Linked DNA regions of Arabidopsis thaliana. The protein of the gene in region 2 interacts with the protein of the main gene of each other region in a biochemical or structural test. Each region holds a gene or a part of one and is shown on either strand. Other genes may lie near its edges.

Evidence for each region.
Region 1: the proteins of CLA1 (region 2) and J20 form a complex in vitro, tested with the Arabidopsis thaliana proteins (one study listed by BioGRID).

The regions. Positions count from the first base shown.
Region 1 is NC_003075.7:8,008,051-8,014,798, reverse strand, and holds J20 (DNAJ-like 20), read right to left. Parts: upstream 3,833-6,748; 5' UTR 3,282-3,832; coding exon 2,829-3,281; coding exon of another isoform or gene 2,814-2,828; exon of another isoform or gene 2,567-2,813; coding exon of another isoform or gene 2,468-2,566; exon of another isoform or gene 2,363-2,467; coding exon 2,222-2,362; 3' UTR 1,919-2,221; downstream 1-1,918. Other genes in the region: AT4G13840 (HXXXD-type acyl-transferase family protein), read left to right, coding at 1-711; AT4G13820 (Leucine-rich repeat (LRR) family protein), read left to right, coding at 4,105-6,264. UniProt on the Arabidopsis thaliana protein: Plays a continuous role in plant development probably in the structural organization of compartments.
Region 2 is NC_003075.7:8,881,165-8,889,708, reverse strand, and holds CLA1 (Deoxyxylulose-5-phosphate synthase), read right to left. Parts: upstream 5,885-8,544; 5' UTR 5,492-5,884; coding exon 5,342-5,491; intron 5,059-5,341; coding exon 4,933-5,058; intron 4,850-4,932; coding exon 4,534-4,849; intron 4,428-4,533; coding exon 4,156-4,427; intron 4,069-4,155; coding exon 3,795-4,068; intron 3,718-3,794; coding exon 3,410-3,717; intron 3,328-3,409; coding exon 3,046-3,327; intron 2,968-3,045; coding exon 2,683-2,967; intron 2,596-2,682; coding exon 2,455-2,595; 3' UTR 2,042-2,454; downstream 1-2,041. Other genes in the region: AT4G15562 (superoxide dismutase 1 copper chaperone-like protein), read left to right, coding at 710-753, 834-913, 1,034-1,263.

The DNA.
Region 1 (6,748 bases), 870 kb from region 2:
ACACCCTCTATAGGAGAGAGAAGGTTCCAAAGCCCAAACCCGACGGTTAAAGATCCGGTTTCAATTAAACGGGTCGAACCCGTTGGAGATCTCTGGGTCACTCCAAACGACAAGAAATTGGCGAATTACTGTTTCAATCTCTCAGTCGCCGATCAGATATCACCACATTTTCCGGCGAAGGGAGATGACTCGATTCCGGTGTTCGAGATTCTCGCCGGAATCATATGGAAATGCATAGCTAAAGTTAGGGTAGAGCCAAAGCCTGTAACGGTTACGATCATTAAAAAAGATCCGAACGATCTGAAACTTAATGCGATTCGAAACAGTCAGGTGATCAGCTCAGTGAGCGTGGATTTTCCGGTGGCGGAAGCGACGGTGGAGGAATTAGTGAAAGCTATGGGGGAAGCGAAGGATGAGAGATGTGGAATTGAGGAGATCGGAGAGAGTTGCGATGGGAATTTGGATTTTGTTGTTTATGGAGCGAAATTGACGTTTCTGGATCTGACTGGTGAGGATTTGTATGAGGCGAAAGTGATGGGGAAGTCGCCGGAGTCGGTTTATTGTAATGTGGAGGGGATAGGGGAGGAGGGATTGGTGGTTGTTTACGCGGCGGCGAAATCGGAGGAGAGGGTTGTGACGGTTACGTTGCCGGAGGAAGAGATGGAGAGGGTAAAATTGGAATTTAAGAAGTTTGGTTTGATCGCGCCATGAGAAATCAAACGGCAAATAATAAGTGTAAACGTGAAGTGATGAAGTGTTATGTTATCGTTTTAAAACAAGTAAAGTTTCGCAAAAAAAAAAAAAAAAAGTAAAGTTTCCGTTGGTTTTATGTATGTTTATGTTTTTGTTGGATTGTAATTTGTAACGTTGTTGTAAAATTAAATAACTGATATAAGTATTTGTTTTCGTATCTGTCATGGTGGTTTGATTGGTGTCAGTTTGAGTAAAACCATTTAGGGAGGTACCATGAAGAAGTGTGGTTGGAGAAAGTGATTAGAAGAAGTGTGGTTGAAAGCAATCACTTTTAGAATTTGATTGGTTACATAAATTAAGGTTATTGAATGTTCAGCTACCTTGTTGGTTATGAGTCCGATGGACGGATGAAATAGATAGTTGGAGTGGCGAACATGTGAGTAGATGACACAAGACGGTTATGAAACGTATGGAAAAGAGTGCTTGTAACCGTTTACTTTAAAACGGTTGGAGTTATGTAATTTTCATATATTTCAAAATTTTGGCTTACAATGTTTATCTGTTTTGTGTAGTTTGGTTTGGTTATGTTAATTTTATTTATGGTAAAATATTATACTCAATGTTTGGTTTATAACACTATTTTAATCATAACACTATTTTTAACCATAATTTTTCACATTATTCTTATACTCTTCTCCACAAAATCTAGAAAATCTTTATTGATTAAACAAGGTCACAAGTCAAATCCTTAAGCAATTTGTTGGAAGCAATCATCTTTAAAAGTTGATTAGTTACATATATTAAGGCTACCTCGTTGGTTAAGAGTCTGATGGACGGATGAAATAATTAGTTGTAACGGACGGATAAAATAAGTGGTGGTGAATAAAAGAAACATGACGGTTATAAAAATAGAGCATTTACAACCGTTTATTTTAATATGATTAGATTTTTGTTATTTTCATATATTTTAAAATATTTCCTAAAATATAATAAGATCACCATTGAAACCCTTAAAAAGTTTATCAACAATTACCTCTAGTTTAAGGTGATTCATATTTTCATTTTGTTCAATAGTTTTTGCTCATATTCATTACTGTATACCTATTATCATCAGTCACCACATTGCCTACAAATATTACCAATCGTATATAATTTTGAACCGCTATACTGCCATCTCCTGCCGCTTTTAACCACTTTCTCCAGAGCCACTTAAAAAAGCTTTTAACCGCCGTATTTAAACAGAATTATCACTCAATAACCATTACAAACGTTGCTGCCACACCTAGAATCCCGTTCTCCACTCAAAACGTAAAACACAAAACATAAAACGCACAACCAAAGAAAGCTTATTTAGTAATCAGGGTATTTATCTAAAGTAATGTGCTTCCGCCGATTGGCATAAGCACATAGAAGAGTATATACATTACATATATACAAAGTTGCTGGGGTATTGATGCTATGCTTTCTATATTACACACAAACAATTAAAAGACTATACATAACAAGGCTAAAGACTCGATGTCGTATGTTAAGAAGATTCTTGTTGTTGACGACGCATTCTTGCAGCCCAAGACATCGTGTTATTATCTTTCTGATTGCTTCTTCTCCTTAACCCTGAGAGCTGAGTTTGCCATTTTGCTTTCCACTCACTCTTCTCTTCCACCACTTCCTACAATCACAACAATCACCAAAACCCAAATCAATTATAAGAAGACCCATGATTGTAGCAAATAGGATCAATGAGTTCATTATTCTCTATTCCACTGCTAATTTGTCACCTAATAATCGACACATGGGTCAATTTATTGGACCATGTTAAAGATAAGGTCAATTCTGTCGACACCATAAAGGTTCTTGAATCTACCGAGTAAATCTAGAAATTCGAAAAATAAAAAGAATAAAAATAGAATTTTTGAGGATAATACTACACACTATTTGTCCACATATGAACCAAAAATATCCAAATCAATAACATCAACATCACTTGATAAATTTATCAATAACACATACACTAAAATTATTGCTAACTCTTAAATTTTCTTAACCATAATAAACCCAAACAAATGGTGCTGATTTTTTCTCTCCTAACAAAAACTTCGGTTATCGCAAAAAAATTAAATTTAATAATTAATTACCTGATCGTAACGGTTCTGGCGTCGACCGGAGAAAGAAAAAGAAAACCCCATAGACAAATCACGGTCATATAAAACTCTCCGGCGAGGATCGGAGAGAGTTTCGTAAGCTTCTTGAACACGAATAAACCGATCTGTGTATTCTTCGACACGATCCGGAGGAGAAACATCGGGGTGATATTTTCGAGCTAGTTGTTTATAAGCTTGTTTGATTTCTGGGAGTGTGACTGATTCGGTGACGCCGAGAAGATCGTAGAAGGATAAGTCTTCCGATTGTTTTACTGGATCGTCGTGGGTTAATCGAGATTGGATCCGGGTGGAGGAGAATCGGGTTCGGGTTGGGTAAGAGATAGTTGTTGGGATTGAAGTTGGTTGAAGAGAGGAGATTGGTTGTTGTTTGTAGAAGAATGGGTGGTGATTGGTTGAGAGAATTGATGAGCTTTTGTAACATTTCATTGTTTTGAATTTTAGGGTTTGTTTATTTTGGGGATTTGAGTTTTGTGGATTTTAATATGAGAATTGGTAATGTGTAATGTGTAGTTTGGGAATGGGGAGAGAGGGAGGGAGGTAGATGAAACAGTTGAGAGTAATATGTGGATTTTGAAGGGTATTTATGTCATTTTAGTTTAATGGAAAGTTGTCATCGTTTGCGACTGGAAGCTTTTTGACGGCGCAAGAAGATATGATCGACAATCCTTATAGCCCTTATCCCATATTTTGGGCTTCAGCTACCTCCACGAGCCCATTAGAGTTTTTTTTTTAATACAAAAATGTAAACGAAAAGAAGAAAGAAAATGTTGATTGAATTTTAGAAATTTGGCAAAGCCAAAAAAGACTTTTTGAGAGTTTATCGGTAACTTTTACGGTGTGTGACTGACTCTCTCACGAGTCACGAGCGTGCCCCGTTAAAGAGCGTTTGCGCAATTGCGTAGCACTCACCACACAGCTGAGGTAACCCCACACGCTCTACTTTTTGTACTGCGGTAACCCCACACCGCAAGTAATTGAATTATTTTTAGGGTTAATACTTTTATGCAAGAGGAGACATAATTGACTTTGTGGAGCGTTCATTTGGAAATTCATATATCTTTGTGGAAGATGACGCCATTTTTTTTACAAGAGACTTGTTAAGTCAAGCTTTTTCTTTTTTCCACAAAATGTAAGACAGTCTTTGGGTCTATTACTAGAGCCATCACTTATAAACATTGAACATCATTCATTTCACTTTCTGAGAAAAAAAAAATCAAAGAAAAAAAGTTTATTGCATTGTTGAGGTCAGATGAAGATGACAATATGGAGCTTGTGTTTAATCTTGTCCCTTTCTAATTCAAAACTGGTTTTGGCTTCTCATGTTAAGCACTTATGTCGTCAAGACCAGAAGAATGCTCTTTTGGAGTTTAAGAACGAGTTTTATGTCCATGAGTTCAACTCCAATGGGATTGTTGGTGTTAAGAAGACAGAGAAGTGGAGGAACAACACCGATTGCTGTTCTTGGGATGGTATCTCTTGTGATCCTAAAACGGGTAAGGTGGTAGAGTTAGACCTCATGAACAGTTTTCTTAATGGTCCTTTGAGATATGATAGTAGCTTGTTTAGACTACAACATCTTCATAATCTGGATCTTGGCTCGAATAATTTTTCGGGTATTCTACCGGATTCCATAGGCAGCCTCAAATATTTGAGGGTTTTGAGTCTTGGTGATTGTAATCTCTTTGGAAAGATTCCTTCTTCACTTGGAAATCTTACTTATCTCACTAATCTTGATCTTTCTGTTAATGATTTCACCGGGGAGCTACCGGATTCGATGGGACATTTAAACAAGCTAACAGAGTTGCATCTTGGATCGGCCAAGCTCAGTGGGAACTTTCCTAGTATGCTACTCAATTTGAGCGAGCTTACGTTGATCGACCTTGGTTCTAACCAGTTCGGAGGTATGCTCCCATCTAATATGAGTAGCCTCTCTAAATTGGTGTATTTTGGGATTGATAGAAATTCATTTTCCGGATCTATCCCATCGTCTCTCTTCATGCTACCTTCATTGACCTCTCTTGTTTTGGGAAGAAACGACTTCAACGGTCCTCTTGACTTTGGTAATATCTCTTCACCATCTAATCTTGGAGTTTTGTCCCTTCTAGAAAACAATTTCAATGGGCCAATCCCGGAGTCTATATCGAAACTAGTTGGTCTCTTTTATCTTGACCTCTCTTTATGGAACACAAAGAGAGGCATGGTCGATTTCAACACTTTCTTGCATCTCAAGTCACTTACGTTCCTTGACCTCTCTTATATTAATACAAGAAGCATGGTTGACATAAGTATATTCTCACCTCTCTTGTCACTTGGTTATTTGGATCTTTCCGGGATTAATTTGAAGATCAGTTCAACTCTAAGTCTTCCCTCACCCATGGGCACCTTGATTTTATCATCTTGCAATATTCCTGAGTTCCCCAATTTTCTAGAAAACCAAACCACTTTGTATTATTTAGACATCTCTGCCAATAAAATTGGAGGCCAAGTACCACAATGGTTGTGGAGTCTACCGGAGTTGCAGTATGTTAACATTTCTCAAAATTCTTTCAGTGGCTTTGAAGGACCAGCAGATGTTATTCAAAGATGTGGAGAATTACTTATGCTTGACATAAGTTCAAACACATTCCAAGATCCGTTTCCTTTGTTACCAAACTCGACAACGATCTTTTTAGGCTCTGATAATCGGTTTTCGGGAGAGATTCCTAAGACTATATGCAAATTGGTTTCTCTTGATACACTTGTTTTATCCAACAACAACTTCAACGGCTCCATTCCTCGGTGTTTCGAGAAGTTTAATACTACTCTTTCGGTTTTGCATCTTCGGAATAACAACTTATCCGGTGAGTTTCCAGAGGAATCTATCAGTGATCACTTGAGATCACTTGACGTTGGTCGCAACCGGTTATCAGGAGAACTTCCCAAGTCTTTGATCAACTGCACTCGTCTCGAGTTTCTGAACGTGGAAGACAACATAATCAATGACAAGTTTCCATTCTGGTTGAGAATGTTGCCCAAACTTCAGATTTTTGTCCTTCGTTCTAACGAGTTTCATGGTCCAATATCTTCTCTTGGAGATTCTTTGAGCTTCCCCAAGCTGCGAATCTTTGACATTTCGGAAAACCGCTTCAATGGAGTCCTTCGATCAGATTTCTTTGCGGGTTGGAGTGCAATGTCATCAGCCGTAGACATCGTAGATATTATGCCGAGTAGGTATGCTGGACGTGACTCAGGAAACTATTATAACTCAGTGACTATGACGGTCAAAGGATCGATAATAGAGTTGGTTGGGAGTGTTTTCACGATTTACAAAACCATCGATGTCTCCGGAAACAGATTCGAAGGACGTATTCCCGAGTCAATCGGTTTACTTAAAGAACTGATTGTGCTCAATATGTCAAACAACGGTTGAATTTGACTGATCTCGAATCATTGGATCTTTCTAAAAACAGATTATCCGGTGAAATCCCACCAGAGCTCGGGAAACTCACGTTTCTAGCACAAATGAACTTCTCCTACAACATGCTTGAAGGTCCAATTCCACAAGGCACTCAGATTCAAAGCCAGAATAGTTCTTCATTCGCAGAGAATCTCGGGCTCTGCGGTGTTCCTCTCCAAGAAACTTGCGGGGGAGAAGAAGAAGAAGAAAAAGAAGCAACAAAGCAAGAGCAAGATGAAGAAAAAGATCAAGTATTGAGCTGGATCGCAGCTGCAATAGGCTACGTACCTGGTGTTGTGTGTGGACTCACCATTGGTCACATTCTCACTTCGTATAAACGTGACTGGTTCATGAAAAGCTTTCAGTATTTTGCTTAATAAAAGCATGACCTCTTAGGAGGATGATGCCCCCTTGTTATAATGCGTGTACTCTAATGTTTTGAGTTGTATAATGAGTG
Region 2 (8,544 bases):
TAATTAATTTTATTTATTAAATATTAAACTTAAAAAAATTAAAACCAATAAAAATATGACATTTTATTTTAAGAATGCCTTCAATAGAGGTCTTAAGTGTCTTGCTAGCGACATTTTTGTTTCTCTTTTTCGATGAGTGTCTTTAATCTACTATTATAAAATTAAGAAAGACACCCTATTTAGCATCAATAGAGGTGCTCTAATGTCTTTGGCATAACCTTTGAATTTAATTATATTCCCAAGTTAAAGAAATACAAATTAGAAAGCCTGAGAAATTTAAACATAAGATTTTTTTTTATTTGTAAAATTCAAAATTGAATTAGGAATATTTGAGGTATAATTGCAAAGATATATTCAAATTTAATTTATTAAGAAAACAATGGTTATAAAATAATTACAAAATCAGATGTTATTGAATATTAATAAGATAAGTTTCCTTATGCACAACAAAATGTGTATACAAGGCTTATAAAATATAAACCTATACAAATCATATATGGTATAAATCAATAATTGTATAATCTATTATGTATTTCTTTTTTTCACTGTTTCAAAAAAATATTGTCTGTCTTGTGTATATGTTAAAAATATATTATAAGTTTTCTATGTATGAGTAATTTGTTTGAATGTATGAGTATATAAAGTGTTATAGGCTGTTCATAAATTGGTCCATCTTATTTTATTTCTTTGATAGCTCAAATTTTAAAAGATGGGTTGTTCCATTTCGCTTAACCAACCAGATACTCCTAAGGAGTAAGTGTAATATATATTTTTACACATGTTAATGAAATTCTCTTAGTAACTCACTAGCTTTTCTTCTATATGTGATCTAGTTTTTCGCATGTCGAATTCAAGATGCCGGAGTGTAGCATATGCGAGAGAGCTATGACTCATACTATATCCAAATTCAAAGGTAGAATAATATCTATAATCATAGTTTAAATGTATATAATTGATAGTAATATGAAGGGATATATATATATATATATATATATGTGCATGCATGTTGTAATTTGTTTTGTATGATTATTAGGAGTTACATTATGTGTGCCGGATAAAGAGAACCAAAAGATTAAGGTCTCTGGAAGTTTTAATAAGGAGAAGTTGTTGAAAAAAATCATGAAAGTTATTAAAGAATTGGAGATTCATGATGGGAAAAATGAAGAGAAAGATGAATTAATTCGGAAGAAACAAGAAGAAACTGAAATGGCGAAAATTATGATGTTGAATGATGAAAATGCCAACAGATGTACTATTTCGTAAAGTGTAGTTTGTTAAATGGTGATCGTTTTACAGGTTTTTAGCATTAAGTTTCATATCATTTTAAATTCAAATCATTTCTTTGGAGGTGGAGAGATTCTAGAAAGAAAAAAAAAAAAAAAAAAAGGATTGCATGAACTAATATCTTCACATTTCTCCCCATTTTGTAGTTTGCAAAATTATTATGTGTTCACTTTGTTTTTTAGTTGTGTGTTTTAAACTATTCACATATTTTTAATAAACTAATTTTCTCATCCATTCTAACTTTAATCTATAGATTAAATTGATCAATTTATTTAAGATTTACATTATAGTATATTTAATTGGTGAAGATAAATTTATATATAAAATTGATTACATTCATCTTTATGAACCAAAAAAAATAAATCCTAAAATCATCTTTTTAGTGAAAGAGGAAGTATATTAGATATAAACATAATTAAGATACTATATCTTTTCTTTTCATTTTTTTATTCAATTTAATTATGATTACACTATTTTATATTTATTAGGTATAGATAAATTCCCAAGTAAAGTATACTTAATAAGTAAAACTGAATACATTCATCTTTATGAAAGCAAACTATAATCATAATCATCTTATTTAGTGAGAGTAATTATTAGATAAGATTATAAGAACATAATGAAGATACTCTATTATTGTCTAATATTTTCTTAACAAGAGAACTCTCTTCTGTAGATAGAGTCTTTCAATGCCTTTAGGCTCTTTGGGGATATTTTGAAAAAAAAAATACTTGTATCCAATCTTGTAAAACCGGATTGGAATGTAAACCGGAAAGTGGTTCGGGTCACTGCATTGGTACGTTCGATCGTCAGTCAATGAGGCCATATATATAGGTCCAGGTTTAAAAACACTGCTCGTACCAAAATATGTCACACAAAGCTATGAAAGATACACAAAGAGATGTAATTGATTTTTACAAGATGTTAGATTATTGTACAACACGATCTCCATCACAATCCTAAACAAAATTACAAAACAAATACCAGTTTTATCATAATACTAATCTTTGCACAACCTTTGCCTTTGCCTTTCTCTTCACAATCTTAGTAAATATATATAGCTGTTGCCAAAGGACTTCTCGGCGGGAATTCTGATCAGTACTTAGAAGAAACCTTGGGTTGCATTTAGAGTGTTTGTATACATATGTTTTAGCCAACAGATTCTTACTCTCAAAACAGAGCTTCCCTTGGTGCACCGATTAAGTTAAGTGCGGTTGCTGCGATGTGAGATGGCATGAGTCCAGCTTCAGCTAGTTGATCAGCTGGTGCACCGTGATCAATGTATCGATCAGGCAGTACCATTGGTCTCCACTGTATATTCAAACAGTTGCAAATTAGAAACAGTATTTTTTGAAAAGACAGAAAAATATTAGAGAGTTTCTGGAAGTAATAAGTAACCTTGAGTTTGCCATCAAGAAGACCATCGAGAGCAAGAAACTGAACAACGTGCGAGCCAAAACCTCCAATGGAACCTTCTTCAACCGTGATCAGAACCTCGTGCGACTTAGCTAAGCTGCGAATGAGAGCACGGTCCAATGGCTTGCAAAACCGTGCATCCGCTACAGTTACGTTTAATCCGCGTTCTTCGAGCATTACAGCCGCTCCTAAACAGCTCTGAACTGCTGAGCCATAACCCAACAACGCAACTCTCTCTCCTTCCTTTAAAATTCTACCTTTCCCAATCTGAAATACACCCAAAGAGATTTTCTATCTCAAAATGATGAAGGAAGAGAGACATATTTGAGAGGACCAAAGTTATACCTCAATTGGAACACCTTTGTTTCCGGGAGGTAATGCAACTCCAATACCGTTACCTCTAGGGTAACGGAAACAAGAAGGACGATCATCAATCGCAACAGCAGTTGCAACCATGTTAAAGAGATCTGCTTCATCTGATGGAGCCATCACTATCATGTTAGGAAGACAAGCCATAAATGTCACATCGAAAGCTCCACAATGTGTCGGACCATCAGCTCCAACGAGTCCAGCTCTATCCATTGCAAATCTCACCGGTAATTTTTGCAAATCAACATCATGGACAACCTACAGAGAAGGCCACCATATACTCTATTAGTTTCTTAAAATGTTTTATTACAAAGTAAAATGATTAAGATGTTGAACTTGCCTGGTCATAAGCACGCTGCATGAAAGACGAATAGATTGCACAGAAGGGTTTAAGGCCTTCACAGGCTAAACCCGCAGCAAAAGTAACTGCGTGTTGTTCCGCTATTCCTACATCGAAACATCTTGTTGGGAAGCGACGTTGAAAGAGATTTAACCCGGTTCCACCTCCCATGGCTGCATGAATCGCAACCACATCTTTGTCTACCTCTGCTTCTGCGACTAATGCCTCCGCAAAGTAAGTTGTGTAAGATTGAGTCTTATTAGTAGTTTTGAACTGTCTACCCGTTGCTGGATCAAATTTCACAACACCTGAAAGAAAAATAATCAATATATATATCCCACTGCTTAGGAACTAGAGAAAACGTTATCTATCTAACTTGTTTTACCATGGTATTTGTCATCAGCTCTCTCCGCGTAAGGATAACCACGACCTTTCTCCGTCACCACATGAATAAGTACAGGTCCTGTGGTTCTGGTACTCTTAACTTCTTTAAGAATGGCTACCAAATCATCTATGTTGTGCCCATCAACTGGACCAATATAGTAAAGACCGAGTTCTTCAAACAGTGACGATCCAGTCCCGCTTATCATTCCTCGAGCATACTCATCTACCTTAGCCGCCAACTGATGCATTGGTCCGCCTATTTGCTTTGTCATACCCTATACGCAAGAAAAGCCAAAATTCTCATCAAGTCCATAAAGACCAGTATTCTTTACCATTCTAGAAAAGAAATGCAATAAACTTGCCTTTGCGACTTCTCTCAACTCTCTGAGAGCCGGGTTAGACTGTAACCGACTAAGAGCACTGCTCAATGCACCAACAGGTGGACTTGGTCCATCCAAAGTAGCTGTAGGTAATGAGACTTGCTTGTTGTCATTAAGAATCACAATCATATCAGAGTCTAGATATCCGGCGTTGTTCATGGCTTCATAAGCCTGTCCTGCCGTCATCGCACCATCACCAATCACAGCAACCACATTGTTGTTCTTCCCCTTCAAATCCCTTCCTACCGCCATTCCTGTAAAACTCATATATCTGATTCAGTTCTGTTTTCTTATTACAGTTTACTGTCTAAACACAACAACACAAGGCAAACACACCAAAGGAATGATTGATTGTATTACCTAAACCAGCAGATATTGTGGTTGAGCTGTGTCCAGTACCAAAGCAATCATGTTCACTCTCTCCTCGTTTGGTGAAACCAGAGAGACCATTGGTTTGCCTCATTGTAGGCATCTTTCCTCTTCTCCCAGTAAGAATCTTATGAGGATAAGACTGATGACCAACATCCCAAAGAATCTTGTCTTGTGGAGTATTGAAAATGTAATGAAGAGCCACAGTAAGCTCCACAACACCAAGACTTGACCCCAAATGTCCACCGGTTTTCGACACATTAAAGATCACGTCTGATCTCAGCTCATCAGAAAGTTGTTTCAGTTCCTGCAATAAGTTGTTACCAAATGCCACCAATCCATCAATTTGTAAGAAAGCTAAAACAAATGCATCAAAGCTAGAATCTTTACCTTGACAGAAAGATTTTTCATGTGGATTGGGTAGTTAATAGTGTCAAGTAATGGAGTTGGTGGTCTGTTTGAATAATATTCACCCTTCTCTGCAAGTGAAGCACACACTTTTGCTCTTCTGTTTGACTGTACCACAACACAAAACCCAAATCGCAAAAGCTGTCATTTTCTCTAATCAGTTCCCAGAAATCAGAACCAAAGAAGCAATATTATTGGTCTAATTTCACTATATTTTCCACAGATTTCCAATAAAGTAACTAAGAAAAGGAGTCAAATTTGTTTGACTTTTGTCAAAAACAAAGTAAACCCATTATTTAATTCAAGATTTCAGCAAATGGGCAAGCTACAAAATCTCATAGTTCTTAAATCAAGTTCCATGATGAAGCAGAGAAGAGAGAAGTGAACTTACATGGGAATTGTTGTTGGGTTTCAGACATGGTGATGGAAGATCTGTAACCAAAGATCTAGAAGAAGACAAAGAAGTTGATTTACAAGAATCAGTTGAAAGTCCTCCTTTGGTTATTATGTAAGAAGGAAAAGCAAATGCAGAAGAAGCCATTGGAGGTACTTTTTGAAGCTCAAGAAAGTTGAAAACTTTAGGAATGTAAGTAAAACATATAAGGATTTATAGAGAATAAAATTTAGGCAAATTTTGAGGTTATCAAAAACAGTAAAACAAATGAATAAAACGCACTTTCGAATCCCACTACAAGTGAAAGTGTGTGTTTAAATGTGGTGGTGACAATGGTGGTGGTGGAGAGTTGAAGAAGTATAAAGATGGAGACTTTAAAAAAATGGGGTGATGAAGTAAAACGACAAGAAAGCCAACTTCATGGATCACGAATTTTATGTAACCGTGCTGATGATATTAAAAAAAAAAAAGAGAGAGAAAAAAAGAGATGGTGAGATGGTTCGTCATCCGCAGAGAACTTGAGATTTTGGTTGGGCCACGTCAACCATGAAATCCAAGTTTTGGATAGATATTGATGATATTATTTATATACGTTAGTACATGTGTATATTGTTTGTTCCTTATTTCATTTATAAAGTTCTTTAAAAAGAAAATGAAAGAAAAGAAAATAAATAAATATATTCACGCATACATACCAAAGACGATAAAGGCAATATAATCTTTTGTGGTATAAAGAAATGGAATTTAAAATGATTATAGAAGAATTGTAATTTGATTTTTTTTTAATAAAAAAATTAACAAGTTTAGCAGGTACTGACAAAGAAAAAAATCTTTACAGTTTTTGATAAAATTGGAAACGTATATTTGTATACAGAAAAAAATCCTACTTTATATATTTCTATATATATATATAATTTCACACTATTATCTTCAATGATATTCCTCTGTTTCTACAAGAATAATTTTTAGATGTTTTACAAGAAAAATTTTTAAAAATAGCTTTTACAGTTTGTTATTTTTATTAATTTAATAATATTAATTTTACTTTTTTCTTTGTTTTTGTCAACAATTTTCTCCTCTTTCTATCGGTAACAAATGAAAGTAAATAATAATGTTGATATAAACATCAAACTATTAGAAACAAAAGGAGTATTTAATATAACCAAGATAGTGCGGTAGTGTCGTAACTCGTAAGTGTATGATTTGGGTTAGTAACTTAGTATTATCGATCTTATTACATTAATAAAGTTTAATATCATATTAAACAACTACATAGATTAAATTTTATGATATTATCACATTATTAAATGAGCGAGAATCACGTTACAAATCCGACAAAACATATAATATTTGACATTCTTGATTATTGGGTTTCAATTGAGTCAAATATGAATAAACAAAACTTACATGAAAGTTTAAGTTTAAGTGTTTAACTAACGACAGTTCCATCACAAAAAGAAAAATTGTAATCACGCGGTTCATTTTATAATATATCAAAACTTATTAAGAAAACAAGCATGTTAAATTGATATGTTAAATTTTTAAATATTGCATTTTCAAAATGATATGTTATTTTTAACTAATTTTTAATGGTGGTTTTTCGATTTTCAATTAGTTTGAATATAACAGTTGGATAAAATTTTGTCGAAACTGCTTGAAATGCAAGATGACAATATTATCAGCTTGTCAGAAATACGTATATGCCAAATTTTCATCATAACGTTTTTTGGAAACTCTCAGATTCAAAGATATTTCTTGAATCTTCTGACAGACAAACTATTGTTTGATCATAATAAACCGACAAAACAATTAATGTATATGCACGTATACATCATAAATATACAAATACGTATTCTCTACCAAAACATTGTAATAGAAAATCGCCTAAAATGTACGAGGCATTCAAATTACTATGTTATTGTTGAAAGCATACCATATTGACGACTTAGTGAATATGACTAAGTAAACTAGATCAATAAACACAAAACCTAGTTCTCAAACTTGATTTTTTCATAAAAAAGTTGTCTTATCAATAGATTGAGAGGTTTTCAAAAAGTTCAAAATATCAAAACGAATAGAGAAGATCTCGAGAGATTGGATAGTTGTGCGAATGCACTCTGATAAACCATTCTAACAACATACAATCAAACATGTTACTAACAACATTTAGGAGGAAACAGGTTCATTGATCACTCGAATGTCACCTCTTTATCATTTCCTTGTATTATCAGTGATCAACTTCACTTTTTGGAGAGGTTCAACCCTATTCCAAAAGGTAACTGTTTTCCCTTCATCTCACCATGTATATCATCATCTACTTCATATGACTTCTCTACTGATTCTAGAACACTACCATAAAAAAACATTCTCATTAACCTACCATTATATCCGTTCACATTGACATCTTCCAACACAACAAATTTGTATCTTCACAATGGAAAGAATAATGAAAATTACGAGTAGAAGTTGTGTTCTGGAAAGAGGTTCGGCTCAAATATTGGCAAGACCCGGTGCTAGAGCGGACCCAAAAAAATTAAGGGTTATTGGAAAAAAAATATTGGCCTATGATTATTATTAAAGAAGTGTGGTTTCTAATTATAGAAATGTTACTTTTAAGAAACTTGGATATTTCCATATTTATTTTTTAAACCAAATTTAGAATTTTAAGGTATATTTCTTGATTAGTGGTTCTGTTTTTTTAGATAACTAAGAATATTTTTAATTTTTTAAATATAAGTAGTTTTTTTTTTTTTTTTCAACACAACTTTGCTTTATTAACTTGTACCAGAATAATCAGCATGTTGTGCTTCTGCTATACAACGAGGGATGTAAAAATGAGAAACATATAATCATAATTAGTAGCTATTTGTTTTTCAAAAAAGTAGAACTTTTTGTATGAATTAAATAAAGATTTTTTTTTGGACCATATCGTCTAGCACTCCTAACACATGTGTTAAGTCGGGCCTGTAGGACCTATGGAGCTCAATTGATCACAAATTTCTCTAAACTCACGAAGATAATTAGGCAAGAATTCATTTTATCTCGAATCATTTGCAATTTACATCAAAGTTCAAGATAAAGAAACTAATTATTTTGTAAAGATATCATGTATACTCATGTGTGTGTTGATAGTGATGACTGAACTTTCCGAAAAAACGTGAGAAATTACTGTCTTTCTCAAAGGTTCTACTTTTTATTTT